Linked DNA regions of Alligator mississippiensis. The protein of the gene in region 1 purifies or fractionates together with the protein of each later gene. This does not show direct contact. Links are inferred from orthologs where the notes say so. Each region holds a gene or a part of one and is shown on either strand. Other genes may lie near its edges. The genes, in order: TNS2 and CSK.

What was found.
Region 2: the proteins of TNS2 (region 1) and CSK purify together in Homo sapiens (affinity purification with mass spectrometry; 6 studies listed by BioGRID and IntAct, with this or other methods). This does not show direct contact. The link is inferred for Alligator mississippiensis from reciprocal best matches to the Homo sapiens genes TNS2 and CSK.

Annotation. Positions count from the first base shown.
Region 1 is NC_081838.1:9,350,500-9,366,134, reverse strand, and holds the start of TNS2 (tensin-2), read left to right. Parts: upstream 1-9,847; 5' UTR 9,848-10,234; coding exon 10,235-10,567; intron 10,568-13,229; coding exon 13,230-13,341; intron 13,342-13,445; coding exon 13,446-13,483; intron 13,484-13,957; exon of another isoform or gene 13,958-14,061; intron 14,062-15,392; coding exon 15,393-15,431; intron 15,432-15,635. UniProt on the Homo sapiens protein: Tyrosine-protein phosphatase which regulates cell motility, proliferation and muscle-response to insulin. Phosphatase activity is mediated by binding to phosphatidylinositol-3,4,5-triphosphate (PtdIns(3,4,5)P3) via the SH2 domain.
Region 2 is NC_081834.1:41,570,353-41,586,064, forward strand, and holds the start of CSK (tyrosine-protein kinase CSK), read right to left. Parts: upstream 7,212-15,712; 5' UTR 7,197-7,211; coding exon 7,170-7,196; intron 1-7,169. UniProt on the Homo sapiens protein: Non-receptor tyrosine-protein kinase that plays an important role in the regulation of cell growth, differentiation, migration and immune response.

The DNA.
Region 1 (15,635 bases):
CTGGAGGTGCTCAAGAAGAGGTTGGACACAGCCACTGGTCGGGGATGATGTAGATGTAGCAATGTCTATATTCTGCTCTGGGTGTTGCCCATGCGTCTGGGCTTTGCTGGTTGCTCCATGGGGCTGGAACGGGATTTATTTTCCCCTCCTGCTGCTACGTGTGTCAGGGTTGCTTTTTTAAACCCTTTTCCAGAGGCATTGGCTGTTGGCTGCAGCCCAGGCTGCAGGTGGGGACTGGGTTGTGCCAATGCTCCTGCTGGGACTTAAACCCAAAGGTTCCTGGCTAGAGAGTCTTGCCCCTGTGCTCAGGGTCAGACTGAGGTCACATTTGGGTCCAGGAAGGATTCCCCTCCCCCCCCCCCGGTCGGATTGGTGCGGACTGCATGGGTTTTGCCTTCCTCTGGGGTCTTTCGAGTGTATTCGAACACCCCTGGCAGCAGCAAGACATTCGCCTTGATTACCTGTGGCAGGTTCGGGTGTTACGTCTTGCAATCATGTCACATTTGCCTGTCGTTGTAGGAAGAGGTTAGATGATGGATGTGCGCACGGTTTGGATAGGGATGATCGGCCTCGGGCAGTGGGCTGGCTTAGGTGACCCCCAGAGGTCCCTTCCGGCCCCACTTCTCTGAATCTCTGTGTGTGATCCGAGTGCCCGAATATCAGTAAAACAGGGTCCCTCTGTGCCTCTAGGTTTCCCATCTCTAAAGTGGACACAGCACTTCCTAGCCCCTGCATGTGATCTCCCTGTTTATGCTCCCTATGTGTATAGGGCCCTGTTAGCCCCCTAGCCAGGTCTGCGCTGCAGCCTTCTGCCTATACATTTGCAAACCCTCCTCTCCCTCCCACCACAAATTGCACCCCTTTTCTGAGCGAAGAAGGCTTCTGCCATCCCCTGGCAGCCAGCAGCAGGTGGGTGCAGATGCTCCCTTGCCTCCTGGCAGCTGCATGCCTCACCCCGAGGGTGATTCAACTCAACACATGGCCTCATTAGCAGCAAGGCTGACCCTGGGCCTGGCACCCGGGAGCCATCCCACACTACCCTGGGTTGGCTCCTGTGCCCCCTGTGCAGGAAGTCTGAGCTGACAAGCTCCAGGCTTTGGGCTTCCTTGTTGCAGCAGGCTAACGTGCCCGGCCTTGTTACCTGTTTGAGGGGGAAACCAGCACCTTGGGGGCCTGGTTCAGTTCCACGTGTTGCCGGAGCAGCCAGCCCGCCCTGCCTGCCTGCCTGCACAATCGGTGCTCTGTGCTCACACCTGCGGCTTGGACACGGCAGGAGATCTGGCGGCCAAGTTCAATTCCACCCCCGTCCCAACGCAGAACAGGGCTCCTTTATTGGGCGTCTGCGCCTAAGCAGGCCAGTCCTGCCCCCCACCCCTGCTTTAAAGAGCAGCCCCTCTTGGAGGGCAGGAAGGGCACAGAGGTCTGAGACCTAGGGGGGTGGAGAAGGCAGCAGGGGACGGGCATGGAGCTTCCTGTCTCCGTCTGCAGCTTGGGTTTCCGGGCCCGCTAGGTCTGACCGTTCACAGCCGCTTGGTGGCAAAGCTGGGAACAGAACCCGGGTCCAGACAAAGGGAGTCAAGGCGCAGGCTTGAGGTGGGACCAGAGACTGCGCTGCTGCTCCCCTCACCAGCCTGGGGCTCAAAGGGCCCTTTGTTCAGGCGGGAGAAACCTGGCCGAGCGGCCTCCAGACATTCAGTGCCTTGTCTGAGCGGTGCGCTCCTGCGGCTGGAAGCCTGGACCAGCCGCCCCAGCCCCGGGACCTCTGCACAGGGAGCTTGGAGCAGCGGGGTTGTGGGCTGCCCAGGCTCGCAGCAGGGGAGGGTCTAGGGGATCCCTGGAGCATCCTGCATGGTACTTCTCTGTGCACTGCTCAGCTAATTCTTCCCAAACGCAAGGGCGTTAGGGGCTGGGTAGGAGGTCGATCCAGCCTGAGCAAGCGCAGCCAGGCTGGAGCCCCGCTCAGGTGCTGCTGGTCTGGGCCACAGCCAGGAATAGCAGTGGCTTTCTCCGTGCCGTCCTTCTGGGGTGCTCATTACACCTTAATGAAGCCTTGAAACTCTCCAGGCACCGGGAGGGACCTGAGCTGGGGCCTTGGGGCAGGCTTCTCTCTGCTTTCTCTCTCCTTGGCCCAGTGCACGGTGCTGTATACGTGCACAGCAGAGGAAAGGAGCTGCAGCTTCTCCGCCATATGGGTCTCCTGGTTTTGCCTTGAATGCGACCCGCGCGCTGCTGGTTTCTGGGCCTGGTTTGGGCGCGCTCTCAGCTCCGTGTTGGTGCTCCACACCCCCAATGCCACTGATCACCCCACAACAGGATGAGGCTACAGGGTTTTGCTCTGCTACGTGTCCAAGGGGCCCATGTCAAAGTGGGCAGGGGCTGCTGGCCAGTGGTCTAACCAATGGGCAAGACATTTTCTTTCTTCCCTCGGCTGGCAGTGTTTCCCCTCTGCTCCCAGCCATGTGGATCCGGATTGAGCCCGGCCTGCTTGGGCTGCTGCCTGCTCCCGGCCGGAGGTGGGGGCTCCGGTGCCCAGCCCAGATGTTGAAAGCTCCTTTGTTTGGCCATGACTCACATCTGCGCACGGCTGTGGTCACACACAGGATGTGGGGTCTGCGCCGCTCTCACGAGGCCAGTGGGACTCTGCCAAGCCTGGTCTCCATCCCCCTCCTTGCTGTCCTTCCAGGGACCAGGTGCCATAGGCGTTGTACAAACATAGAGGCCTAATGTTTGCTGCCAGAGAGCTGATCTTGCTAGCATCTTTTCTGTTTTTCAGGAGGCTCCTTGTCCACGAGGGTGCTCAAGCGGGCAGCCGCAGGGGGGGCATTTTGGGGTAGGGGCACCATCAGCTCAGGCCAGAGGGGCCTGGCTCGGAGGCCAGCCCCAGTGACTTGTCCTTCCCTGGGCTTCTTTCCTAGGCCCCTTGCGCAGGACTGAGAAGGATAGCATTTCTCCCTCCCGGGAGGTGCAATGGTGGATCAGACGCTGGGCTGAGCTGTGGTAGTCCTGGGTTCAATTCCCAGCCCTGCTCCTGGAGATGTTCTCCAGCTAGGCACGGATACACAGCCCTGTGGGGAGCAGCTCGGTGGTGGCCCGTGGGATCTGCACTGCAGGGAGCAGGGCCTAGGGCTGCTGACATGATGAATGCCTTCGAGCCAGAGGTCCTCTGCCAGCAGCCTGCACTGCTCTGAGTCTAAGCCTACCCTGTTTCCTTCCAGAAGAGGGACTGGATGAATTCACAGCTGATCGATCTACTGCTGGCTGTTGAACAACACAGCTGGAGATGTTTCCTCTGGCACCTCTGGGCCTATAATGTTGGATACCAGGGATGGTATTGAACAGGGGCAGATCACTCTGGATGTGCCTGGTTCAACGCTCTCCTTCTAGGCTATAGTATCCACTTCTTCTGCTGTCGGTGAAAGGATCCTGGCCTAGATGGACCATCTGTCTAACCCAGTCTGGTACTTCGTATATTCCTAGATAGAAGCATAAAATTGTAAAACAGGAGGGTTGGAAGGGACCTCAGTGAGTCGCATCTAACCAACCCCTGCTGGAAGCAGGACCAGCCCCAACTACATCATCCCAGCCAAGGCTTTGTCTACTCGGGTCTTAAAAACCTCCAAGGATGGAGACTCCACTACCTCTCTGGGTAACCTGTTCCAGTGCTTCACCACTCTCCTAGTGAGAGAGTTTTTCCTAATATCCAACCTAACCTTCCCTTGCTGCAACATGAGCTCATTGCTCCTTGTTCTGTCATCTGCCACCACCAAGAACAGTTCAGCTCCATCCTCTTTGCAACCCCCCCTGCAGGGAGTTGAAGGCTGCTATTAAATTTGCCCTCGGTCACCTCTTCTCTAGACTAAATAAGCCTGGTTCCCTCAGCCTCTCCTCATCAGTCATGTCCCCCGGCCCCCAAACCATTTTCATTGCCCTCCGCTGGACTCTCTCCAACTTGTCCATTGCCTTTCTGCAGTGTGGGACCTAAAACTGGACCCAGGACTCCAGATATGGCCTCACCAGTGCCAAATAGAGGGGAAGAATCATTTCCCTTGACCTGCTGGCAACACACCTACCAATGCAGCCCAGGATGCCATTAGCCTTGGCAACAAGGGCACACTGCTGGCTCATATTCAGCTTCCCACTGTCACCCCCAGGTCCTTTTCTGCAGAGCTGCTGCCCACCCAGTCAGCCCCCAGCCTGCACCGGTGCATGGGATTGCTCTGTCCTAAGTGCAGGACTTTGCACTTATCCTTGTTGAACTTCATGAGATTTGAGATTGCAGGGGGAAAAGCCAGTTTTCCTAAGACTGAGGCTAAAAGCACAGGGCTGGCTTATAGGCAGGCTCGGCTTGTCCTCGGGACAGTACGGTAGGCATGAGGGAGCTGCCAGTGTGCCTCCCCACTCCTGGCCCTCTGCCCTCTTGGCCCAGAGCCCCAGCGCCAGCAGGGCGGGCAAAGCCACGCGCCTGGATCCTGGTGCACGAGGCCTGGAAGGAGTGAGCTGGAGGCAGATCCTCCTGCTGGGAGGAAGCAGCTGGCGTGTTTGGGGTGCCCACTGGAAGCAGCCGGTCATCAGAGCCTCCTTCAGGACTCTGGCCTGCTGGGGAGTCCCTGCACAGCCTGGGGCCCTGTTGCACCAGGACAGCAAGGGAGGAGAGGGCCCCAGGAGCCAGGGAGGCGAGAAGGCAATGGGACAGAGCTGGGCAGCTCAGCAGGCCGCAAGCCTGGGCCCCTTGAGAAACAGCCCATGGCCAAGGCCAGCAGGCCGTCCCGGGGCTCCGAGTCCCCTGCTCCAGCCCAGGCAGCTGGCTCTAGGCGCGGGGATCGATACAAAGAGCCCTGCGCTCCCCGTACTGCTCGGACATCCAGCTGCGACCTCAGTGAATCCAGATGTGGGGCAGGAAGAGGATTCCCATTGTGCACAGAGGGATGACATCATCTCCCGAGTCCACCTGGAAGGTCCTGCAGGTCTAGTCAAGAAGCAAGGGGCGGTGATACCTGGCTCAAAGCGGTGATGTCCTAAATGGGAAGTGGCATCATCCCATTCACCTGCGGGCACCGCGGGGTTCCCACGGACGGCCAACGGTGCTGGATGATGGATATGATGTAACCGTCGGATGACAAAGCCCCCAGGATTCCTTCGGTGATGTCACACCATGGAGGGACGATGTCACTTGGCTCCACTTGTGATCTCGCTTCAGGGCAGAACAAACGAGGACCCCTGCGATTCCCCTGCCCACATGCTGGCATTGAGGCCTCAAGGAAGAAGGGCCCAGAGGGTTGTACAACATCCTCCAACAGCAGCACAAAGAAGGGGCTATTTTTAAGGCTGAACTTTGGATGATCTTGACCCCAACATCCCCCATCCCCCCCCAGCCCTGCCATCACCCCCAGCATTGCAGCCGTCACCCCAGTGCCCCCACCCTATCCATCCATGACGCAGCCGGGGTTGGGGCGTAGGCTCTGTGCCAGGGGACACTAGGGCCAGGCCCTGGCATGAACCTCTGAGGGAAAACTGGGGGCAATGAGTGACAAGCCCAAGGGGCCAGGGAAGGGCAGTGGCAGGGCTGGGGACAGCAGCCTAGCTTCCTATGTGCGCATGCATACATGCACGCACACATCAATGCACATGCACGCACACATAAAGACACATGCACACCACTCATGCACTTGCATACATGCCCATGGGCACACAAGAAGACAGGCAGGTACATGAGCACACATACATGCACACATGTGTGTGCACACGCACACGGACACACACACACACATCACCACAGAACAACACCGCAGCCGATGTGGGAGCGGGAATGTGTTTCTAATTATCCCCTTCCCGCCACTGGATTTAGGCTCTCCTCCCCCTTCCCGTCCACACCTCCTTCCGCCGGGGTCTGAACCCCCCGGGGCTGGGGCTCCCTCCCCATCACCCCCCAGTCCCGGGCTCCCTTCTCCACCTGCTCCAGGGGCCCGAGCCGGGTGAGATCCCGGCTCCTGCTGGCACTGCCAAGTTTGCTCTGGCACAGAGGGAACTATGATTAAGCCATGTGTGCGTGTGCGTGTACGTGTGCGTATGTGTGTGTGTGTATGTGTGCGCGCGCACGTGTGTGTGTGTGTATGCCAAAGCCAAGGGGGGGCTGTGGGGGAGTGGAGCAGGAGGTGGAGTTTGCAAGATCCAGAGGAAAAAAACAGTGCGGAGGAAGAAGGCAGCGTGGGGCTGCGTCCGCGGGGGAGACTGCATGGGCCGGGGGGCAGGCGCCCGCTGCTGGGACCGTGGCTGCTGTCAGGGGCCCCCAGCGCCCGGGACCCGCACGAGCCACGGCCGGATGCAGCTGCCCAAGGTGCGATGCCTGTGGGGTCGGGGCAGGGGGCAGGGAGCAGGCCAGGAGAGCCCCATGGTGGGCAGGGGCATGGGGGGTGGCAGGGCCAGAGCGGAGTATCGTGGGGGGGGTGATGGCAGGGGGGTCAGGGCCTGGCAGAAGATGTTTTGCAAACGGCGTCACAACCGGGCGCTGGAGCAGGGAGCTGGAGCCAGGCGCCGGGTGACAACCCTGCCAGCTCCCGCGCTCACTTAACCTCGCACTGCCCGGAGCCCTGGTGGCAGCCAGCTCCCGGAGCCTTCCTGACCCCGGCTCTCCCGCCCTGGAGCATGAGGATGGCACCCCCCTCCCCCAGGTGTGTTCCCGTGGAGATGCCCAATTGGGTGCCTGCCCATCATGACCCAGGAAGCATCCCAGCTGCTGGGGGGGCTCATCCTGGGGGTGCCCAGACAGGGCCTGCTCTGCCCCCCACCTCTCAGGCCTCCTCCGCAGCCCTGCCCCTGCCCCCCAGCAGCCTTGATCCCGAACCAGCACAGGAAACGCTTTACATTTTTTTCGGTTCAAGCCTGGTTCAGGGAGTCCCGAGGTCCGGGCGCAGCGTGAAAGGGCCCGGGGGCAGCAGGATGGGGCAAGGCTTCCCGGGCCCACGGCGCTGGCAGGCGGCAAGCGGGTTTTGGCAGAGGCGTCCACACCCAGAGCCAGCGGAGGGGTTGCCAGGACACGTGGGCCTGCACCCCCGTTCCCTGGCTGCCCCTGCTGTGGCTTCCTGGGACAGTGCCCAGGTGGCCGGATGGCGAGCTCTGTGTGGCACGCAGTGCCGGGCACTGGGCCCCCTGGGCGGGGAAGGGGGTCCCTTGGGCTGCAGCTGGATCTGCGCAGGGGGCGGGAGCTGTGCCACCTCCTGGGTTTATTGCTGTTGGGGCCTGCTAGAGCACACCCCTGCCCTGCCCACTGAGGGGTTAATGAAGCCTCCTGCAATTAGCCAAAGGTAATTAAAGTAATTCTGTGGTGCAATGGGCCAAATGCCACCACCAAGCGGGGGAGCAGGAGAGTGGGGGGGCCGAGTCTTGCCAGAGCCGAGCCGCCCAGGCCTGCAGCTTCCTGGGCCGTGGGTTCGAATCCCGCACAGCTGCTCCAGTGTCGGGTGCAGGGCGCTGGGTTCTGGGGTCCCCAGCTCCCGGGGGGGGGGGTCGTAGCCCAGCTGAGACCGGACAGACTCGTCACACCGGGGACCCTCCTTGCCCAGCCCCAGGGATTTAAAACCCAGGAGTCCTGCCTCCCCCACGCCCCCAAGGCCAGGCCACAGGGGGGCGCCCCCAGAGCTCTCCATCCCCCATGGAGAATTTGCCCCTGAGGGGGGCAGATCCTGCCCCCAGGCCTGGGGTGGGAGAGGTGCCAGCAAGGTGCTGCAGGGGGGCAGGATGGAGCCCCCCGCCCAGCTGAGCACTGTCCTATTAACCCTTTCAGCTCGGGGGTGGGGGGCCAGGCAGACCTCTGACATTAACCCTTTCTTGCTCCTGGCTGCCCCGCCCCACGCAGAGGGGGTTAACCCTTTCTGTGCCCCAGGGCTGGGACTGGGAGGGAGGGGCACCCCTGGGATTAACCCTTTCCGCTCTGTGGGGGGGCACGAACCCCTCCTGGTACCCCAGTAGCTGGGCTGGGGGTGCCCCCCCTCGCCCCCAGGTTAACCCCTTCAGCTCTGCAGGGAGACTCCCACCCCTTGGAGATTAACCCCTTCTGCTCATTGGAGGGGGGGGTGTCTCAGACCTTAACCGCCCCCCCCCCCACCCCGCATTAACCCTTTCAGCCCTGGGGGGGTCTAAAACCTCAACCCCCCCCTCCAGATGATCCCCCTCTGATCCCCAGGGTTTAACCCCTTCTGCCCGGGGATCCCAGGGCTCTCCCCGATTAACCCCTTCTGCCCCGGAGCCGGGCGACCCACCCCCTGGCCCGGGCTTAACCCCTTGTGCCCCGGGGCGGAGGGGGCGGGCTGCCCCCTCATTAACCCCTGGCGCTCCGGGCGGAGCAGCCGCGGCCCCGCCCCGCAGGAAGCCGGCCCGGGGCGGGGGTGAGGGCGGCGGCCGCGGACCCGGAGCCGGCGCCGGAGCCATGAAGGTACCGCGGGGCCGATCCGGAGTCGCTCCGCGCTCCGTTTCCACGCCGGGGCGGGGCAGGCACAGCCGCGGGGCGGGGGGGAGGCTCCCGCCAGCCCATAATAACCCCGGTGCTTCCAGGCGTTGCCGTGGAGACCCCTCCCCCCCGGGCTGGGCGCTGCTGCGGCCGTGGGAACGGGGCCGCTCCGGATTGGACCGGGAGGGGGGGGGTTCGTGTGACAGGGCAGTCGTGCAACACGGTCTCGTGTGACAAGGCTCATGTGCCAGGGCGTCGTGCAAGGGTCTTGTGTGACAGCACTCGTGCAACAGGCTCATGTGACAGGGTCTCGTGTGGCGGCACTCGTGCGACGGGCTCGTGTGCCAGGGCGTCGCGCAATGGGCTTTCATGGGACGGCACTTGTGCAACAGGCTTGTGACAGGGTCTCGTGCAACAGGGCCTCGAGTGGCGGCCCTCGTGCGACGGGCTCGTGTGGCGGCACTCGTGTGACGGGCTCGTGTGGCGGCACTCGTGTGACGGGCTCGTGTGCCAGGGCGTCGCGCAATGGGCTTTCATGGGACGGCACTTGTGCAACAGGCTTGTGACAGGGTCTCGTGCAACAGGGTCTCGAGTGGCGGCCCTCGTGCAACGGGCTCGTGTGACAGGGTCTGGTGCGATGGCACTCGCGCGATGGTCTCGTACCACGGGGCGCTCGTGCGGCAGGGCCTTGTAGGACAGGGGCCTCGTGCAACAGGCCTGGAGGGACAGGGGCTTGCACGCGGCAGCCCCAGGGGGCCGGGGGCTGCACTGCCCGGGACCCCCTGCGGAGGCCTGGCCCTGGCTCCAGAAGAGGGGCGGGAGCTGGGAGAGGCTAGGCTGCTTTTCTAGCCCTGAGCAGGGGGGAGTCACTGCAGGGGGAAGCACAGCCCGAATATTAGCAGCATTACGGTGCCCCAGGACCCGCCCTGGGATGTGGGGGGCCACAGCAGGGACCTCGCCCTGGCCCCCCAGGCTGGCTGGAGCGGGCTGCTCTGCTCCTGGGGGGCCTGGGGTGCTCTGTAGGGGTGCATGGGCTGGGGGCTCAAGGATGGCCCCGGGGGTGCGAGCCGTGGTTGTGCAGCTCCTGGCGCGCAGCGGGGTGCCCCAGACCCCCGGAGGTTCCCGGCCTGTATCCACCCCTCGGATCGGAGCCAGAGCAGGGGCTGGGGCCAGGCCTGGTGCGGGGCGGGGGCACCAAGTGCCTGGAAAGTCCCTGGCCCAGGCAAGGCGCGTCCCAGCCCGAGGTCCTGGCGAGGACACGGAGGAGGACAGGGAGGCAGCAAAGCAGGGGCCAGGTTGGGGGCAGGCAGGGAATGTGTGTGTGTGGGGGGGGGGGCACGTGTGCGTGCCCAAGTGCGGGGGCTGTGTGTGTTTGGAGCTGGGGGAGGCTGCGTGTGTCACAGCAGGTGTGTGGGAGGCCGTATGGGGCAGCGCTGCATGCGATGCGGCCACACACGTGTGCAGGTCCGGGCCAGCTTGCACGTGTGGTGGCTGCCTGCACACATGTGCATGTGCACACGTCCTTGTGCCCCCCTGTGCACCGGCCTCTCCCTGCTGAGAGCTGATGTCAGCGCGCGCGGCCAGCCCCCACCCTGCCCCGTCCCTGGCAGGCCCCGGCGCTGACGCCAACCCGAGGTCCAGCCCCGGGAGTGGGCCGGAGCCGAGCTGCATCCTGCCTGGCTCAGGGCCGATGCTGGCGGTGTCATCGGTGTCACGAACCCCTCAGGGCTCAGCCTGCCCTCTCCCCTGGCTCCTCGGGCTCCCTTGGCCTGCCTGGGTCCCCTGTGGGGCATGCAGCCTGCCTGGGCCAGCCCCAGGCCACTGCAGACCCCGGACCCTGGCAGGCCCTGGGCCATGGCAATGACCTCAGCACCACGGGAAGGAGCTATTGTGCGTCAGGAAGCCCCGTCCTGCCGCAGGCCGGCCCTGCCTCATTGTTTCCAGCTGCACGTCCGATCCCACGGGCAAGCAGGCGCTGGCCAGCAGGACCCCGCTCCTGTGCTGACAGGGCGAGGGGCTGCCCAGGCCAGCCACAGTCGGGCCATGAAGCCGCGGGACACGCTGGACGTGCTGTTTCGGGTGCTGGGGCGGAGGGGCAGTGCCCGGGCGCCAGGCACGTGCAGGGTAGGTGTGACCCCCGCCCAGCTCTGCTCGGGGAGGGTCAGAGTTTCCCCTGGGAGCAGGGGTGGTCCAGGACAGCGGACCCCTGGGGATCTGGGGGCCAGGCGCAGAGTGGGTCCCCGTGGGAGGTGCCAGGGATGGGTCTGACCCGGTTCCCAGGCTCGGCTGGACTAGAGGGGCCATGTGCCCTTGTCCCAGACTCACTGCACAGTGCCGAGCGCGAGGGGCTCCTGCCAAGTGACTTGGGAGCTGCCTCTGAGTGCCAAGGCTGTACCTGGGGGTGGGGGCAGAGGGGTGGGAGTCGAGCCTCTGTCCTGCCCAGGTGTGCAATGAGCTACCTAATCTCAGCCCAGGTCCTGGCTCTGCATGCGTGTGTGCGCGTGCATGCATGTCTTCATGCCTGTGCCTGGGTATGTGCACAGCATGTGTATGTCTGCACGTGTCACATCTGTGCAGGGGCATGCACTTCTGCCTGCATGCATGTGCATGCCTGCATGCATGTTTGTATGCATCTGTGTGCACATCTGCATGTCTACCCATGTCTGCCTGCCTGTGTCTGTGCGTGCATGTGCATCTGCATGTGCACAGGTGTGTGTGCATGTGTGGGTGCGCATGCCTACGTGTGTGTGTGTACATCTGTGTGTGTGCGTGTGCATCTGCGTGCATGTGTGTGTGAGCATGTTTGTGTGCATGTATGTCTGTATACATGTATGTGTCTGTGCGAGTGCATGTCTGCATCTGAGCCAGGGCAGGAGAACCCAGGAGTAAAATCCCCCATGGGGGTCCCATGTGCAGTGTGTGAGGCAGGGCAGGGCCTGGCGGGCTCGGGGCTGACTCGTGCCTGCAGCAGGCAGGGCAGAGGGTGCAGAGAGCAGAGGAGAGGATGCCCAGGTGCCCTCAGTGCCCGCACTCGGCCCCAGCCTGTCCCCTCTCGCTTCCTGCACTGGGAACACAGCGTCCAGCTGTCAGGGAGACTCCCATCCCGCTGTCACGGGGGCGTGGGAACAGCCCCCGCCCTGCCCGGGCCATGCTGAGGTCTCCGGGCCAGCACGGGGCTGGCGTTGACCAGGTTGGCATCTCCCCCATTGCTGCCCGCCCCATCCCTTCTCTTGCCCTTTCCATCCCACCCTCCGTATCTCTGCCCACTTTCCTCTCTCCCACAACCCCCCCCCCGCCATTTCCCCAGCTGCCAGCTCAGCCCCTCACAGGGGTCCCAGAGCAGGAGCCCCCCATGTCATGGCCCAGCTGGCAGGGGCGGGCACGGTGCCTGGGGCACGCGCACAATAGCGGGCACTGACACGCCGCGGTGGGACGGAGCCAGTGAGTAAACATGTTGTTCTGCTGCCCGGGCCTAGCCGTGGGAGGGGGGGGCGGGCACTGGCAAGGGCTGTGCCATGGCGCAGATTCCTGGGACTCCAATGGCAGGACTCAACCCCAGCCCGGCCGGCTCCTGGAGCCCCCCTGGCACACCAGGGCACAAGGCGCCAGCCCCCTCCCCGTTCGGGATGCCGGTAAGAGGTGAGGCGAGGCGGGAGCTGCACTCTGTCCGCCAGCCGTGGCCGGGGCTCAGGGCCCTGCTTGCCTGGCTCGCCTGTGCATGCAAGGGGAGTGTGCAAGGGCAGGTGCCAGAGGGGCATGTGCATGCATAAGGCATCGGTGTGTACTCAGGAGAGCGAGCGTGTCCACACTTGTGCGCACTGGTGCATGCGTGCATGGCACCTTTACTTCAGGGGTGGGTGTGAGTTCATGTGTGCACCGGGCTCCCCGTGGCCCGGCTGTTCCACTGTGGCTGGCCGTGCCCCGGCTTGGGAGGGCTGAGGCTGTCCCAGCCCATCACCGGGGTGTCAGGTCTGGGACTGGGGGGGCTCCCTGCTGTTGGCAGCCCCCCACTTCCATCCTCAGCCCCCCGCCCCGCGCCCCAATCCTGCCCTGCAGCACAGATACTCGTGTTCTCCGCCGGCTGCAACAAAGGGACCGATTCATGGCTATTTATAGCTGGGCCGGCGCGTGAAAGGCGCCCATTCAGCCTGGCCCAGACAGGGCAGCTTTCACTGCCGAGGCCCCTGCCCCAGACTACATCTCCCAGGAGCCCCCTCCTTGCCGGGTGTCCCCAGGCCCTGCCTTATTCATTCCAGGTGTGGATGGAAGTTGGGGGACGCGGGTCCTGGCTGGAGCCCTTGCCCCAACGCTGGCCGTGAGCGTGGCTAGCAGAGCGGGGGCCTGGCTAGCAGGCAATGTGGGTCTGGGGGCAGCGTCATGGGGGCACAACCCTAGCTGGTTCCTCATACCCTAGGCGATGTGTTCAGGAGAGGGGTCATGCCCAGGGTCACCCGGCAGGTCAGTGCCAGAGCTGAGGATAAAACCCAGGCGTCCGGGCCCGACCGCAGCCCCAGGCCTGCTGCATCAGGCCCCAGACAGGGGGGCATGCATGGGCTGGGGGAGGCTGCAATGGGAACGCCGGCATTTGCCCCCCCTCCCGCGGCTGGAATGCGGCGGCGTTTCCGGTGGGACAGCTGGGGCGATGCGGGGTAATCGGAGCCGCCGCGGGCCTGGGAATGCGGCTGGGGGGAGGCCTGTCGTGAGTGCTGGCTCTGTGCACGGTGCCCAGGCAGGGCCGGGACCCAGCACCCCACGGCACCAGCCCAGCCACGTCTCTGCTCCGCAGCCAGGGAAGGGGCCAGAGCCGCACAGCTTCCGCGAGAAGGTGTTCAAGAAGAAGCACCGGGCCTGCGCCGCCTGCAAGGAGCCCGTCGAGGCCCAGGGGCTGATCTGCAAAGGTAATACGGGAGTGGGGGGTGCCGGGGAGCTGGTTGACCCCCTGCTCCCAGAGCATCACCCCCACCCAGGCACCGCGGCCCCTGACCCCCTTCTCTGCCCGCAGTGTGTAAGATTGCCAGCCACCGGAAATGCGAAGCCAAGGTAAGAGCCTGGTGGGGGGGGCCCAGTTGGCCTGTGTCCCTTGACAGGAGACAGAGCCAACCCGCCCAGTCCAGCCCAGTTGGCACGTGGCTCTAGGGATGGACTGTGCTGGGGCTGGCTGGGGGAGGAGAGAGGATGGACCGTGTCCCCTGCCCCCCCCAACTTCCTCTGCCTTCCCCGTGACCCGGGCTCTTATCTCTGCTGGGAGGCAAGGAGAGCAGGGGTCCCGGATGCTCCCAGGGGACCTGGGCTGAGGATGTGCAGAGACAGGCAGAGGGGCTCATGGGGAGTGGGGGGGGAGGGGGCAGCCTGCAAGGGCACTGCTGCGGGGAAGCTTGCAGCCTGGCCAGTTCAGCAGGAGGGAAGCCAGGGCCCCGGCCCAGGCTCCTCTGGCCCTTTAAGCCCTGGCAGATGGTTGTGTAAGGCTGGGTTTGCCTTGGCCCCGGGCCAGGGCTGCAGCTACAGCAGGCCCCAGGCTCAGTGCTGTCCGTCGGCCAGCCGGCGTGCAGGGCAGGGACGGGCACAGGGCTTGCTCGCGGTGCCAGGAGCCCAGAGAGCAAGTGTCCTGCTGCCCCCAGGTAACGCAGCGGGATGGATGCCACAGCCCCCCCACAGCCGCTGTTCCCAGCTCCCCCCATAGGGGGCAGCATGGGGGTGGGGGGGGTTATCGGGGGTGGGGCACATACCTGTGTGCACGCGCGTGTGTCTCCATTGCATGTGAGATGGGAGAGAAAGCGAGGGAGTGAGGGAAAGAGGAGAGGAGGAAAGGGACGGGGTCCTGGGCTGGTACCGGGTGGGCAGCGGTGCCCATGGGTGCTGCTGCAGGGCAGGACATGGCCCCAAGGAGCTCTCTGGGTGCCGGGTGCTGGGTCCCTGCAATGGGACATGGTGCTGAGAGCAGAGGGAGCCAGGGGAGCATCAGCCAGGACTCCTGGGGTCCCCCCGGAGAGGGAGCAAGGGCTGCTGGGGAGATGGGGAGGCCTTGAAGCCAGGACTCCTGGGTTTCCCCCGGGCACGATGAAGAGGGGTCAGTGGCTCGACCAGCCGGCCGGGGCCGGGGCCTCCTGGGTCCTGGTCCAAGCTCTGAGACAGAGCGGGGTCTAATGGTGGTTGCATCCTGCCTCAGTTTCCCCAGGTGGGCAGCAGAGCCTGGCAGTGCCCCCTGCCCCGTGCCTCGGTTTTCCCCTCCTCGGGTGGCCATTGACGCCTTTCCCTGGTGGTTCTGGCTTCCCGCATCCCCCGCCCCCAGCTGCTCCAGATGTTTTCCCAGGCCCTGGCTGGGCGCCGGAAGCTGGGAGGAGGCTGCTCTGTATCTCAGGGCTGGGGGCTTTGGGAGGGGGAGGGCCCGTTGGCAGCAGCCAGAAGGGGCTGGAGGGGCAGATCGAGATGGGGGGCACCGGCAGGAGCAGAGCAGTGCGGGGCGGGGCATCTGGGGGAGTGGCGATGTCATCTTTGCATATGCAAATCAACTCCCACTGACTGGGGGGGCAGCCCTGTCCCCCCACCCTGGCCTGGCGCTGCCCCCTGCCGTGGGGTGCCATCGGGGTGCCCAGGCCAGGAGCGAGGCTAGCTGCCGGAGCAGGGGGCCGGGGTCCCCCTGGGGGGCTGAGTCGAAGGGGGGTCACCGCAGCAGTGGTGGGCAGGGGTCCGGGCTGAATGGCCCCAGTGTGCGTGTGTATGTGTGTGCATGTCTGGGCGCGGCCTGTTTGTGTTGCTCTATATATAACCCCCCCCCACCCGCCGTGAATCACGGCCTCTGTGTGCTCGTGCGGGAAGGGGCCAAGGAAAACAGCCCCAGCCCCCCGCCGGGGCCGCCTCCTGCCCCGTCACGCTGGCGTCACGGCCGGGGGGCCGGGCTGGCACTCAGGGGCGCCTGGGCTGGTGCTGACCCCGTCCCTTCTGCTCCCAGGTGACATCGTCCTGCCAGCCGGCGCCCCCTCCTGAGCTGGTGAGTGCGGGGCATTAATGTGGCGGGGAGTCTCGGGGTTCCCCGAAGCCCACAGCTGGTACCAGGGGGTCCGGAGGAGCAGGGGCTCGTGCAGCTCAGGGCATTGCAGGGCCCAGCAGGATTGAGGCTGCGGGGCGGGGGGATCGCTAGCATGCGGCAGCTGCCTCCACCTTCATGCTCCTGGACAGGCAGGGGTCAGGAAGG
Region 2 (15,712 bases), on another chromosome or scaffold:
TCAAGGCACCCTTGTTAGACTCAAGGTATCCCCTTGCAAAATGCCAATTCTGAGCTTTCACTCACTTTTTGACTACAGAAAAAATGCTAGAGCAATTCTTCTATTGCAAAGGACTCGGAGACACCCAATAGGGCAGACTGTTTTTTATAACCCGAGTTTCCGATTTGAAATCTCTGGATTTATCTTGCAAATCGCATTTAGCTGTTTGCACACCACACAGTGCTATTATTGCATGGCACCCCATGGCACTTGTTGAAGGATCTTGTGGCACCCAGGTTGAGAATCACTGTCTTAAACCCTTATTTAGTCATCTAGAGCAGCATTTCTCAATCCATGGGTCACAAGAATATATATATGAAAGGGTCACGAACAAACTTTAAAATAGGATTTTCCTTTGAAGGAGAAAAATGTGGGGAACTGGCTTTTTCTCTTGCAGGTTGGCAGAGTTACAGCCTGCAAGCAGCTGCTTGGAGCCACCCATACCCTACACACACCCCCACCCTGCCCTACACACCTACCCTCTGCCTCATACACTGTTGGGCTGAGGCCTGGGGGCAGGGGGCAACAGGTTGGGAGTGAGGGGCACTGGTTTGGGACCAGCCATCAATGTTTGCAAATGGGTCCTGGTACAAAAGAGGTCGAGAACCACTGATCTAGAGCAGGGGCTGCAACCTCTGACCCACAGGCCAGATTTGGTCTGCAAAGAGGTTTTAATGGGCTACAAAGGTGGGGAAAGGCGAATCGATGGCAGTGGTGGTGACTGGGTCATTAGCAATGACCCGCCTTAGCACTGAGCTGCATTAATTCAGGTAAAAGGTTGCGAACCCCCGACCTAGAGGACAGGGTCTTCAAAAGTTTCCAAAAGCTGAGAGTCTGATCACCCTCCAGCTGCAAACCCTAAGTCAGCCTATCTACAGCAGGTTACTTCCTGGTGGTGTGGAAGTCTGACGCATCAGCTGTGCCATTGCTGCAAACAGAGCTCCAGCTAGTTGCTTATCAGCACTGCCTTCCACTCTGCTGTTTTTTCATAGCAAGGGGATGGAGGGCACCCAGAACTTGGCTTCTCTAGCACAGATGAGCACAACAGCGCGCAGAAGCTTTTTGTGGTACATCTTCATTTGGCCAAGTCTCGGTTAGGTGAACAACATGAGATCTGAATGGCAGCTTATCTGTACACCCTTGGAAGTGTCGGTTTTCTGCAGAAAACCATTCTCCTCCAAGACTTTAGTTAATGCATCAGCGTATCCCTACTCTGCAGTCAGAGACCACTGGTATTACATGCTGCTCTCTTGCAAGCTTTAAATTAAGCCACAGGTATTACTTGCATGGGTAGGGGGTTAGGGGTGCAGACTGCAGGACTCCTTGTAGGCCGTATCCAGACCCAGGGGTGAGCAGCAGGGATGTGAACTGCCACAGGTGTCTAAGCCACTGTGACAGAGACGCTGCCATTGCTTGCCATGCTGTCACTGAAGCATGTTGCAAATGGGGCTCCATGTCCTGGAATTTGGTGTTGGGCCCTGCCTCTGAATTCCCAGCCTCTTCTGGACCCCTGAACACATCTTTGACACCCCTGATTTAAGCCAACAGTGTGCCTCTACCTTGAGGTTTGACGCAGTTACTTGTATCTGTCTCCCTCATCCCAAAGAATTCAGCGATCCCAATGGCTTTCCAGCCATGCTTCCCAAAGGCATTCAGCTAAACAGAGGATGTGACAAAGCAGTAAAAGAAACCATTCTCAGTATGAATGCTGACAATTTGCTCACCATTAGGAAACCAGACAGTCTAACACAAGACATGCACAGCAAAGACTCAGCAATAAGCAATTAAAATTCATTAAAACTAAGGGTGTCAAAGATATGGCTCATGAGGCTAGGGTGGCACAGGCTGCAAACCATGCATGGGACTAGAACCAGCACCATGGGTGGTGTCCATGACAGTTTGGGGCATGCACTGTATATAGCACCTGTGCCAGACCAGCCTTGAAAGCCCGCTCTGAAGCCAGACTAGATTGGGCCTACACATCATCCCTAGGCACTGGAGCCTACGCTCAGGGCCAGTCCAGCACGGGCTCCTCATGTGGTGCCCGCCCCGTGCCAGCTCTGCACATGCACCACAGGGCCAGGGCTTGTCTAGGGCATGCACTGCATGAGGTGTCTATGCTGGACCAGTGTGCAGGCCCCAGTACAGACCAGACCCATACCCCCCATTCAGCCCATGAGGCTGGATATGTTAACATCCCTGATTTAAAACCAAATCTCAATGAACATCTCAATAAAACAGCCCAGACTGAACTAATGAGATGCATCCACCCTACTTAATGATACAGCCACATTGGTGTATACAGGAGAATCCCCCTTTCAGAGTCACCATACCTGCTGTGAGCAAGGAACAAAGACTTACTCCTTCAGATCAAGCAATAAGGCAGCAGGGAGCCAACTTATTTGATGTGCCACAAATTAAGCTCCACACCCTGCCCAACAGCCACACTGATCCCCTTTGCAGGCCTGATCTGCTGCTCTGCTTTCTGGTCCCTGTCCTCCCTGATCTGCCATATGCCACACACGGAGGCTGCCCATGCCACTTGTGGCACACATGCTGCAGGTGTACTACCCCTGCAATAAGGGCTAATGCATCTCAGAGCTTCTCCCCACTAATATCCATGGTGTTTGCATATAACTGAGGAGCGTTACAATCAAGGTCATCACAGCCATATATTTCTTTTTTTAATGAATTGCCTCCAGCCGCATTCGCACATCTTTTGTATTCCCTTTCCCTCATCACAGCAGCGATTGAAGTGCATGAGCATAAACGCTTGCAAAAAGCAAACCCGAAGCCAGGCAAACACACACAGGATATATCCAACCAGGAAACCCAGCTATGCATGTGGCTACTGAATGATCAGTTCAAACAGCCAGCCAGGGAATAGATCGACTCTATTATGCCCATGGATTCACTTCTAGCTAAATGCAAGAACAATTGGGATCTGTCTGCTGACATGCTGTGAACAGATGAGATGGAGAAATGTATTGAATAAACTCTTCTTTATGCATCACTTGCTGGGGACGAGTGACATTAACAGCTTGCAACCCTCATCAAATGCTCTCTTGCCCTGCAGACTCGTAATGTGCTTTGCCGGTGGCAAAGATACAGGGATGGCTTTGGCCATGCTGAAATGTGGCCCACTCTGGGGTGAAATACGTGTTGTCCTTTACTTTCTGCTCCTGTGCCCCTGTTAACGAGATAGGAGAAGGAAGGAGTAAAACCATCTCTAACAGGAGGGATAAATTCAGGAAGGCGAAGTGTCGTACTCCCAGGCTTCCAACAGAATCCAAAGGAATCTTAGCAAGTCAAAACCTAGTTTCTGGCCAGCAGACAGCGTCTCTTGTGGTACAGTGCCCCTTATGAACCTGCTAAGGAACTGCCTCAGTAAAAGACCACCTGATGTACCTGCACTTTCCCTGACGGTCTCCCAACCGATTCTCCTTAACTCATGGGTGCTGATAGGACTGCAACCCAACTGACACAGCTGCAGCTAGACACAGCCGTGGCCAATGCTCTGGAAATCCCCCTTTCCTCCTCTTCCATATTTTTTAGATGGGCTCTTCCTCCCTGAGGGTTATTTTTAAGTTGTAGTTTGACTTTCAATTGTTACTCAGCAATTTGTAGTTCATACCAGTGGCTCCGAATTACAGGGGGAGAAAGGAGTGGGGTCAGGGGAGCACACATCAGTGGACTGTGATGATGACTGTGACAATAAGGAAAGGGTCCAGAGGACAGGAACAGAAGGGGCCACCCATCACCAGCCACCTGGTCCTGCCCTCCACTAATAAAATCCAAGTTTATCTCCAGCACAGACCAAACTCACATGGGAAAGGAGAGGAAGGAAGCCAGTCCTGGCTCTCCTCAGCCGGGGGTCAGGAAGTGGCACCCAAATTCCTTTGCTGGGCCAGACCCCAGTTGCCCATTGCCTCCTCCGACACCCTGACCATACCCATCCATTGCACTAAGAGGTCATATCTCTTCTGCTGTGATGCCGCCGAGTGCCACTTCCCCATCAGCAAGCCAGGCTCACGGAGAAGTCACAGGCGCTCTGATGCAGCTCAGCAAACATCTCTGGATGAAATGCCCTCTCTGAGGCCAGGGAAGTAGGGGAAAAGGGATCAAGCCCTGCTATTTTTGGATGGGTCCCTCTGGGAGCCCACAGTTCATGTCATAGGCTCCTCCCCCTCAAAATGTGCCTGCTTTGGCTGGAGAGGAGGCAAGCTCCAGCCACGAGCTGTTTCAGGAGGAAATACAGACAAGGGTGGGGGAAGGGGAGTGGGGAAGAAGTGATCAACCGGGCTGGGCCAGAGGCTCTTTGCCAGCTGTGGTTCCTCGCCCATCCTGGGAGACGATGAGCGGTTAGAACCCGCAGATAACGGCCCTGGCACAAATCTACTGACCCTCGTGTCAGAGCCGAGACCGAATCAATACCAGAGGCAGCTGATCCCCTCCCCTTCCCCCCTCCAAGCTAGTGGATCCTGAAAGGTTAACTGCCTGTAGGGCAAAGGCAACACAGAAAAGGCGTAGTGTGGAGTCCTCCCCTCTGCCCACATGTCTGGAGGTCCGGCCTGCAGAGAGGGCCAGGGAGGAGGCCAGAGAGTGGCATTTCTGACATGGACGCTGCTGCCGGCCTTGAGAGAGAGATGGGAGCAGATTCTCTTGCATGTGGGTGGGAATAGGCTTAACGTGGGAAGCTGACTTCAGCCTTAACATGGGCAGATGGCCTAGGAAAGGGGGAGGGGTCTGTGCTGTCCATGAACACAGGCAGCTTCCGTGGTTCCTCCCACCTCCCCTGCTAAGCAGCCACAGGTCATCACTATGGATGCAAACGGTCCAGGAATAGGACTTTGATTCTCCAGCATCCTACCAGCTTCTCCAGTGGGTCTGAAGCCTGCAATCATTGGGCTAGGTCCCTACCTGATTTATTCCATTACTTGCTCCAGGGCAACTGGTCCAACACCCAGGGATGTCAGCAGAAAGATGCCCGCTGGCTTCGCTGGGCTTTTGGATGCAGCCAAGAACACCAGATCACAAGCGATTCCCCAACGGCTCTGCTGAACTCAATACAATGAAATTGTACTGCAGCAAGATACCCCCCGCACAGATGCCTTGCTTTTGTGAGGGGCAAATCCACAAACACTGCCTGTGTCACAGGTTGGCCGCCCCTGCAATAAGCTAACTAAATCAGAGATGTGCAAGCTTTCAAAAACAATGGCCTGCTTATTTTGGAGGCTCAGAGTTCACAGCCTGAAGAGCCACAGTCGACATATAAAAGCTGCTTATTTCTACAATTGCTGTTACTATCTCCAGGGTCGCAGGGGCTGTCCTGTACCAGGCTGGGGTGCCCTTAGGTCAAGAGTGTGATTCCTACGGGTGCCTGGAGGAAGGGGGCAGCCTCTCCTCTCCACTGTAAGGACCTTGCCACAGTCACCTATGCCTCTGTCACCTGGCAGCAACGGAAGCTCCCAGCGCTGCTGCATGCTGAGATTAGCACACAGTGCCGCAGGGGGATTCCCGGGGGGAGCCACACGTCAGGAGCACACCACTGCCCTGCTCCGAGAGATGCCCCCACCTGCCGACACACATCCAGGTGAAACTCAAAGATGATCCTGTCTCGAGCAGGGGGCTGGACGAGGTGACCTCACAAGGTCCCTTCCAGCCCTACTTTCCCATAAACTCAAGGCACCAATGCAAAGCTTTACGCTTCAGGACCTGGTTCCCTATGAAATCACAGCTCTCTCCCAGCTGCTGACTGCTATCTGACAAAGCTGGGACACTCTAGGAGAAACCTCAACCCTGGGGCTTGCTCCTCACTTGCTCTACTGGAGCCTGAATTAGTGGCATGCTGGAAGGCTTCCTTGCCAAGGCTTGTAGAGTGGGGGGGAGGTGGGGAGGTAGAGTTTAGGGCTAGGTGGCAGGTGAGGAAGGTTATTTAAAACATCCCCCTCACTAACTGGCGAAAACCTTCTGTGGATCAAGGGGGAAGGTGCAGCCCCTTTCCACTGTATTTCCAAAGATGGTGCCTACAGAGGGGAACTTGAAACCATGCTTGCAACCTGTACACATGCAATACCACTCAAGTGCAGCCATTTCTGGGGAGGAAGGCAACCGCCAGTCTAAGCCCAGCTGGCCTAGGGGAGGAAGGAAGGAAAGGCAGCCAAGCACAATCAAGCCAGCCTGATGTTTCCATCATGCCAGGAGGATTTCTCCCATCACTGCAGCACAGACTGGACCACAGCCGCCAAGACTGACCACAGAGCCGAGCCTCACGGAACTTGCATATCCAACCGAGGGGAAAGTGGACGAGCGCAACCGGCTGCAATTCCTGACTGCCAGTCAATGGAGGGGGGGTCTCTGGACTCAATTCTCATCGACCTGACTCTGGAAACAAAGAGGGAGGGTCCGAGCGAGCAGAAGCCGCGAGGCTTGGGCAGGAGCCTCAGCCTTAATGCAAAGGAGACTCGGGCGACAGGAGTTTCAAACCCAAGGCTTAGCCAGCTGCTCAGCCAGATGCCCTGCTCAGCATGTTCCCCCACACATCAGAACCAGGAGGAATCATAGTCACCCCCACAGATCCCATCCCACAGCTGGTCCGATCTCCCTCGTCACCCTGCACCTGCTTCTTCATCCCACAGCACAGCAGATGTGAACCCTGTGATTGCTGGCGGGTGGGGTGGGGGGTAACCCAAGTGACAAGCCCAACCCTCCATCCCCCTCAAAACTGGCCACCCCTGCCCCCAGCACACACACACACTCTCCCCTACACTCCTCCTCATCACTGCCTGCAGCAGAGAGACCAGGGATCCACCCCCGCAACCACCACCACCGACTGACCTGCACAGCCATTGAAGCCACAGGCTATAACAGAGCCTTTCTCTACAATGGTGGAGGCTGCTGGGATCTACGGTGGCATGAAGGCTGCCTGGGCCAAACGCCATCGCACCAGGCAGAGGACTGGAGCAGATCCTAACCATGCAGTGCTGAGCCTCTGCAGCACGGGGCCCAGCCAGCAGCCTTTCAGCCAGTCTTAGTTATTTATGCCTTTCCAAGGTGGGTCAGGGCCAGGGGGGAGGTGGTATGGGGGGGATACAGTGGGGAGGAAGAAAGAGAGGGAAAGAAAAACTTACAAGACCAGAGCAGAAGCTGAGAAGCATCTTTGGTTACATAACAGGAGAGCAGAGAAGCAAAGGAATCAGTGAGACGGTGGCTGCCGGGCTCCACTGAGAGATCCCCGCTTCTCTTTCATCTCCTGCAGTTCCTCCAGTCAGAGAGGGGGACGGAGGGGGGAAGAAGGGGGGAAAAAACCCCCACAGTGCCTGATGCAAAAGGAAAATCCTGCACCAAGAGCTGAGGTTGCAATCACCGGGAGCTGAGAGCACAGTCGCTCCGGTCCATCCGCCTGTGCGCTTGGCGGCCAGATGCTATCGATTCCTAACCCCACCGCAAGGGCAGGGAGTGCGGAGGAGCGGCAGGGAGGGTGGGGGGGCGTGCGCATGGGAAACAGTGCATTTTCATTTCAAACCCAGTTCACAACTTTGCTGCACACAATAAGGAAATCATAGCGTAGGCTCCCTAGGCAGCCTAGCTCCCGGGTCTGTAGGGACCTCCCCTGGAGCTGATCTCCCTCTATAGGAGGGAGGGGAGGCAGGCAGAGCACAAGATGCTTTGACAGTGGGTGAATGTAGCACTGTTTCTGCCAGTTTGGTTTTGTTTTTTTAAAGCCACCGGACAAATCCCACTGGATTATCCCTAGTCCGCCCCTCGGCTGATTCACAACTGTCCGGCAGTGGCTACGACCGTAGATTCTACTTCTCCGATGGCCGCGTCACCCACTCCCAACCACAGCCCATTCCACAAGATACAGCCAGGCCTGAAAAAAACTCAGCAACCATCAACTAGCCAGCAGATCTGACCTGCTAGCCGTGGGTTGGGAAAGAAGTCCTACCAACAAGAGAGAAATCCTGCTCCCACTCCCAGCAGCTGGGGAGAGGGGATGCGTGGGAATTCCTATGCAGAGGCTGTCCCTGGCCCCTGCTCGAAGCAGACTGAAGTGGGAAATGGAGTGATCAGAGGTGACCCCTCACCCAAGCCAGGGAGAAAGCACTGATGTCTGTCGCTCTTCACCCTGCTAGCTGATGCCTCAATTATACAGGGCCTCATCCTTTGTATCCCCCACTCGGCTTGTCCGCAGCTGTTGGCTGGAAGGAGCGACTATCCTTGTGGCTCCAGGCCTCCTCACTCTCTTGATGGCTGGGTACATGCTGACCTGCCCCCGTACCTTGGCAGCTCTAATGAAAGTGCCCACATCTTCTGCCCACCTGCCATCCCCACTCCACTGTTCAAATCCTCCCATGCAGCAAGCAGGCCTAGGACTGGTTTCTGCTGCTGCTTAAAGGTCACCCTCCCACAAGGGAAAGTCTACTGGGTTTCACACCTTTCCTGCCTCTACAAGGAGGACTAAAACTGATCAAAGTCTCCTGGGTTTCATTCTGCTGCTGGGCCAGGTTGGGAGCTGCAGCTGCACCGGAGTGGTCTCTGCCCTCAGAGGCAAGGAGGCAGCACTCAGATATGACAGGTCCTTCCCAGAAGACAGAAGCCTTCCTTGTAAACCAGGGCTGCCAAGGTTGCCTGCCCCCTTCCCCGGGGAGGATCAGGATGACAGGCCAGATCTGGACCCACCCCCAGAAGCAGAGCAAGGGTTAATGCAGCCATCATTCACCCCACAGCCACTCTCACACATCCCCAATTGGGCTCCGTACCCCAGAACTCAGCAACGGGCCCTACCCTCACTCATCCCCCAGCCCTATTCCCTGCCCCTCCAGAAACCCTGCAGGCCAGTTGTTAGACGACCCCCCCCACCCCATTCTAGACAAAAAGCTTAGCAGTCAAGACCTGGACCCTATGAATATTCCTGATAACCCACCCTACTTAACACCTGGGGTGATCTAACCCTAAGTGACCAGATCCCAATATCAGACATTTCCTAATGCTCAACTTATATTTCCCCTTCCTGAATGAAATGAAACTGAACTTAGAAAAAAAAGCCTCAACGCACAGCAAAAGATTGTATCTGCTGCCATAACACGCAATGCCCACAATTACCATAACTGAAAGAAAAAAAGAAAAAACAAAAGAAGAATGTTTTTGCTTGATCGGTTGGGCTGTGCGAGTTTCACAGCGCGGGAAATATACAGTGGGTTTTGATGCCCCTCTCTTTTCTAGTCAGGGTCTTGGTCTCGTGGAAAGGACTTTTTCCGCAAGGAGAAAGAAAATTTGGCAGAAAGCTGATGTTATTGGATGCCTATAATAACAGGAACTATTCTGGGACAGGTGCTTTAAACTCAGCCCACCTACACCTGATTTTTTTTTCCTCTGGTATATTTTTAGCTAATCTATGCACCTCAGCTCAGGCCTGGGGTTCAGGCAGGTTCTAACCAACCAACCCCAAAATCACAACATCCCAAGCCATGATTGGCACAGGGTTGCTATTTCTCCACTAAAGGATCACACCAGTATAACCAGTGTCAACATCTATCCTTCCTTCCCCCCAAATGTAGGCTAGCACCATGCGTCCAACTCCGTAAGTCTAGTCCGTGTGCAGTGCGAGGACCAGTTGAAGGGCACTGCCTGGGAAATTACTTGAATGAAATCTCGCAAATGCCCCGTTCTTGTAAATCAGGCCAAAAGTATCTTCCACTGGTTTCGCTTCAGCTTTGCAATTCAGTCAAACGGAGGCCCAAACTGCAGGCAGGCTACCTCTGAGGTTTAAAAGCTTTGCAACCCAGCCAAAGAGAGCTGAGCAAACTGAACTGAAACTGTGCCTTCGACTCAGCCAGCACCGACAGGGGACTGCCGCGCACAACAGAACTCGGGCTCTGACGTGATCTGCAATACAACGGGGGCAGACAGACAAGACGGTCTCTTTGTTTCGTGGGATAAGCCAGCCCCATCGGGTTCCAAACAGCTTGGGTCATCTTATTTTCTTTTATCCCCAGCTTTACCATGCGAGAGAACAGTAACTGAGCTTCACACGTGCTGGGACAGCGAGTTTCACCATAGAGGGAAGCAGTGAAGGTTGACAGTTTACACAGATAAGAAAGATTCACTTCCTTTACTGTTTACCCTATGCTTTTCCGCCCCCCAAACACTCCCCCCCCCCACCCCTGCCATCTCCAGAACTGTATGAATGACAGCAACTACAAAAGCAGTATCACAGCTTGAGTTTTAGCCATATGGATCTGCCCCAAATGGGTTAGATCAGCGATTCTCAGCCACGGTGCTGCAGTACTCTGGGGTGCCATGAGATCTTTTCAAGGGTGCTGTGGGATGCTGTGCCATATTAGCACCCTTAGGTGTGTGAACACCTACACAAGATTCACAAGATAAACCCAGAGGTTTCAAACAGGGATCCAGGGTGTCAAAGCCGTTCCTCCCTGCCGTGGGCTTTCCGAGTCCCTTGCAACAGAAGAACTGCTCTGGTATTTTTCAGACAAGGTTCTTTGGGTAAATCCAATATCTTTTATTAGACCAACTCAAATAGTTGGAAAAAATTCTTCTTAGCAAGACACCCTTCATCAGGCTGAGGAAGCATTTTTCCACATTCAAGAAATGAGTGAAAGCCAAGAGCTGCCATTTTCTGAGGGGGTCCTCAAGTCTGATTGAAGGGTGTTTTGAGTCTACCAAAGTTGAGAACCACTGGGTTAGACAGTTATTGCCAGCTGCAACCATTACTATTCTAGTCTTCCTACCCCCTTCGCTACAGGGCAGTGGTGCTGAACGAGTAGTAGCACTGATGGGAAATTGTTACAGAGGGGAAAAGAGGCCAGCCACAGACTCAGCCCTGCACCCTGTGCTGATTGTCTGGGGGAACCCCCCAGAGCAGCTAGATTTGAAAACCTTAAACACATACACAGAACCACACACACACAGAACAAAATACAGCCATGGGGCAGGCAGGGGCAGCTCCACCAAAGTCATCAGGTGGAGGAAAAATAGGCAACAGCTGGGAAAGTTGCCCCCTGCAACCCACAGTCATCAGGGATCAGACGGAGGGGGCCAGGCCACCTTTGGCCTTACCAATCACCAGCCAAGGGGTCAGTAGCTATTCTCCTGAACTAAGACCACTTGTTCCCTCAGATTTCCTCACACCCCATTGAATTTTAAAGGTGGATGGGATTTTTCTCTCTTTTCAACTCCAGAGCCAAGAACACCTCCGAGAAAGAGTCACACAAAAGCAGGGAAGGGACCTCACCAGGCCATCTACTCCAGCCCCCTGCTCAAGGCAGGATCAACCCTGAATAAACCATCCTGGGGCGAGTGTTGTGTCCCACTGCACACTCAACATTTTTCCAGAGTTCCCTCTGTATTAAAAGGGTCATAGACCGGCAGTCCCTTGCATCTACCTGGAGGCCCTGGCAACTCCAAAGGGACCCAGCACTAGAAGAAAGCAAACAAAAGAGAATGAAATAAAAGGCCTGAATTAAAATGAACAAGCTTGCATGGGGATGAGGGTGAATTCCATGCTTTGAAGCACCAGCCCAATCAGCAAAGGTGTAAACCTTTGCTGGAGTGAACAATGGGAAACCTGAAAAGAGAAATAGGCTGGAGGCAACTGCTGGTTCCATGGAGCATGGTACCCCTGGTACCTGTCCGCCAGCATAGCCAAGGCTCCACACCAATTCTCCACACCAGCACATGTACCGTAGGGGTGGAACATGGAAAAATTCCTTCCTGACCCCTGCCTATGCCCTGAAGCCCGAGGGTCAATTCTTCCTCTGCCTGAGCCACCCCAAACCACCAAGGTCACACAGTTATCCGGCCCATTTCATTCCAACCGCACCATTTGGCTATTTGATTTCCTGCCAAACAGCCTGGAATTCCACGGGCCAGCAAAACGCTGCGGGAGGACACAGCTCCTTTTATTCTCAATGTAAGAGAGCAGAAGTCTGTAGACATAAAGTAACAGAGCGAAAGTCAATGTTCCTAAGTTTTCACCGGACGTTTAAACACCTTGTCAAGTCACCCCTCCTGCTCACCTCCGCTACGCACTAAAGAACCACTGGATGTTTAAAAAAAATAAATAAAAAAAGTAAATAGTCTCACAGATCCCACCAAACCCATAACCGCAGCTTCAAAAATGGCAGCACCACCACACTCACCCATCCGGGCAACGTCCGGTAATGGCTCCTTTGTGGTGGCTGCCCTGATCTCAAACCAAAGGCCGTAACCCAGACCTTCTGCTTGTCCCCCAGCCAGCTCACAGCAATATGACTCACTTATTGTCAAGAGGGGAGGGAGGTGGAGGGGCAAAAATCCAAACTCTCAGCATTCAATAGCTTGGTTGTTTTCCACAATGCGGAGCTGAAAGGCTAATACTGGCTGTAGCCCGGCTGTCTGCCTACAATGAAATGCATGGGAGGTGACAGCAGCAGTGTATCATCCAGACTAAGCCAATACGTATTACACTACAGCCATGAGTTCCTGCACGCTTGATCCCTGGGCTGTGGACCGTCAGCCAGAGCCCTGAGCACACAAATCTCAGAGGAGGACGGGCTGTGCTCTATGAACCTGTCAGCTCCTTGCAGAAGGAGAGGCAGCAATGGTCTGGGCAGGGATGATGGAGTCCCCATTGTTTCAGCTGCTGTCATCTCACCCTGGGCTGCCACAGCTCTGAGAGCCATCCTTCAGGAACATGCCTGTCTGCCAAGGAGGAACAAGGCGGGAGGGACCTAGTCCAGAGCCTGTGTGCAAGCCAGCTCCTCTCCCTTCTCCCAACCCTCCAGCTGGGCACCTCTTGGCTTATTTGGGGGAGGTATAAAACAGGAAACTGGTAACTCAAATCCACCCCAGGCCTCATGCTATATCCAGGGCAAGGCAGAGAGGGAAGCTCGCTCATTCAGAGTCCACTTTCTCAGCACACCCCAGTCTGATCACACAAGGAAATGAGATTCTGGGGTGGGGGTGGGCGTGGGGGAGGGAGAGCTCACAGGCCTAGGCCAAGTAGGAGAGCGATGGACGTGCTCTGGAAACCCACACACCATGTAAGAAGTCTTTTCTCTCTCTGCTTCCCCACTTGGTCACAGGGACAAGGCTGTGCTGGTTCATCGATACCAGCACTGAGCCTGCCCCCAGCAGACGGTCCCCTGGGACTGGGGAGCAGGAAGTGCCCGTATGCATCCCCTGCAAGGTTCCCGCAAAGTGCCCGATGGCTCTCCCCAGGCTGAGCTGGAGTCAGACCCTTCCCTCCCTTACTCTGCGAGCAGAGGGTGCCTAAGGGACACCCAAGGGTGGCACCCACCCACCAGGAAGATGGCAAGGAGGGAGAGCTGGGATCCTGGAGTCTGCCCAAGCCCAGATCACACTGAAAAGCTGTGGAAGGGGGAGGGCAGGACGCAGCCTGGGCCCCTGTAGTAACCACTCCCTTCCCTCCCCGAAGTGTGCGAGTACTGAGGGGTCAGAGGGGGGCAGGCGGGAGCACTCACCTCTCTCCAGGCTCCGATCTGTCTTTGGCTTGGCTTCCACGCCGGGGAGCCGGCTGCTCAGCGTGGGGCTCGGCCACTTGCCGGGTATTCCATGCGGCGGGGTGGGACAAGGGGGCCTGGGCACTGCTGGGCCGGGGGTGGAAGCGAGAGGTACAAAGGGGTGGGGTAGAAGCAGGGCTGGGGGGTAGCGGGGCCCAGGGCGGGAGGGATCGGGGAAGGGAGGGATCGGGGAGGAGGAGGAGGAAGAGGAAACAATGTAGCAGCGCCCACAGCGAGGGTTCCAAATTCGAACGCTGCGGAACACCCAGAGCTTTCGATCTCCGAACGTTCGGGCTCGCCGCGTTCCAGCCGCGCCTGCTCGGGCCCCTGCCGGCCTGGGCAGGGGAGGCCCGGGGGAAAGGGGGGGCTCTGCCTGCTCCTCACGGGGGCGAGGCGAGGCGGGGCGACGGGCGCGGGGCTGGCGCTCGCTCTGTGCCCGCGGCCGCCCGCTCCCTACCGGGCTCAGCGGGGAGCTCGCAGGGCCTGGTGGAAGGAAGCGGAGCCCGGATCCGTCCGCCCGGAGCAGCGCGCCTGCGCCGCCTGGGCTCGACCCCATCCCTGGCCGAGGCGTGGGCAGAGAGATCGCGCCACCTGCTGGGCTTCCCGGGGCACCGCGGTGGCGGGAGGGCGCTCCGCTGGGCTAAAGGGCGCAGCACCTCGGGGCTCAGCCTCTTAGGCGGGGGTGCAGCCTACTTTCCGGACCCCTTCAGTGGCAGCAGCTGTGCTAGGGGATCCGAAGCAGGCCCTCCTACCCCTCTACCGGGGCTTTCAAAACTTAAAGCCCTGATCTAGAAACTTGGGAGTGGATGAGAGAGTTGGAGGGCAGTGGTGAGACACCCTCAGCATCCAGCTCTTGCTTCTGGTTGAGGTTGGAGGTGCCAAAGACACGGGTCTGCCTCTGAAAGGAAGAAGCAAAGGCTCGGAGCTGGCTGGGAGGTAGAAAAGTGGAGATTTGGGCAAGTGGCCATCAAGCATCATGGGCTCTGCTTTCAGCCAACTTTTGGGCCTCCAAAGTCTCTCCAGTTAGCTGGAGAAAGTGAGGATGGAATCAGGAATCGTGTGCAGTCTTGGTTGTTTACAACGACTGCACAGAACAGTGTTTCCCTCAACCACCAGAGACTCAAGTAACAGGAGGCAGTTTCTTTGCTCATAGCTCTGTACCTCTGGCAGACAGGATCTCTCTCTCATGCCCCAAAGGATCTCGCTCTTATGCCTCTTTTTTAGGGTCAAACTACCTGTAACTAGGCCTAGCCATGCTAGCAATCTACCTGACCAGGAAGGAGGCTCTGGCCCCTGGGGACTTCTGTGGACTGCAGGATGGTCGTCCTGTCCCTGGTCCTTTCACGTCTCTGGGCAGAGCTTCACAGGGCAGAGTCCATTGGCTCCTAGCCTGTGACCTTGCTCCTGTCCCCATTTTCTTTTTAGTTGTCAATCAATTGACATATACCCAGTAGCCCTGTCTAATAACAAGGGAGAGACTAACCATTGCTCCACGGATGTTAACCTTATATATCAACTAGGCCTGTAGCTGTGGCTGGCACTTCCTTCTCTTACAGCTTCTCAGTCTATGCTGCTGCTTCTCTCAGAAATACCCAGACACACCAGTGCCTGCATTTGCTGTATCTACCCCTAAGGAAACTTCTTGGGCCATACAGTTCACCTTTGAGTCCAGTTTTATCCCATGCATATTTTCTGGGGTGGGGGTGTTTCTGTGGTTTCAGCTGCCTGGTTACACAAAGGTTATGGGTCTGAGAATACCCATTGCCTTCAACACAGTTTAACCCAATCTATAAACCCAATGTGCTGGGCTCCTTGCAACCATGTTACAATCCATGCCCTAAAAGCAAAGCAGGGGGTAGGAAGGGATCCAACATACAATCAAAACATCTGATGAGTCTGGTCTGGCAGCACCTAGATATTATGGCAATTAGCAAGCTATACTATATATACACTATGTATTTTCACAACTGAAACTGACTGTGGACTAATAGTAGGTAAGATATCAAGACTACGTATCACTTTGGGCATCAGGACACACAAGAAACCAGCGCTACTACCATTTCCTCAGAAAACTTCTAACCTCATTTCTGTTTTCCCTACACCAACCCTCAGCCAGTTCTGCTTTATATCCAAATACTTGTCTGATGCAG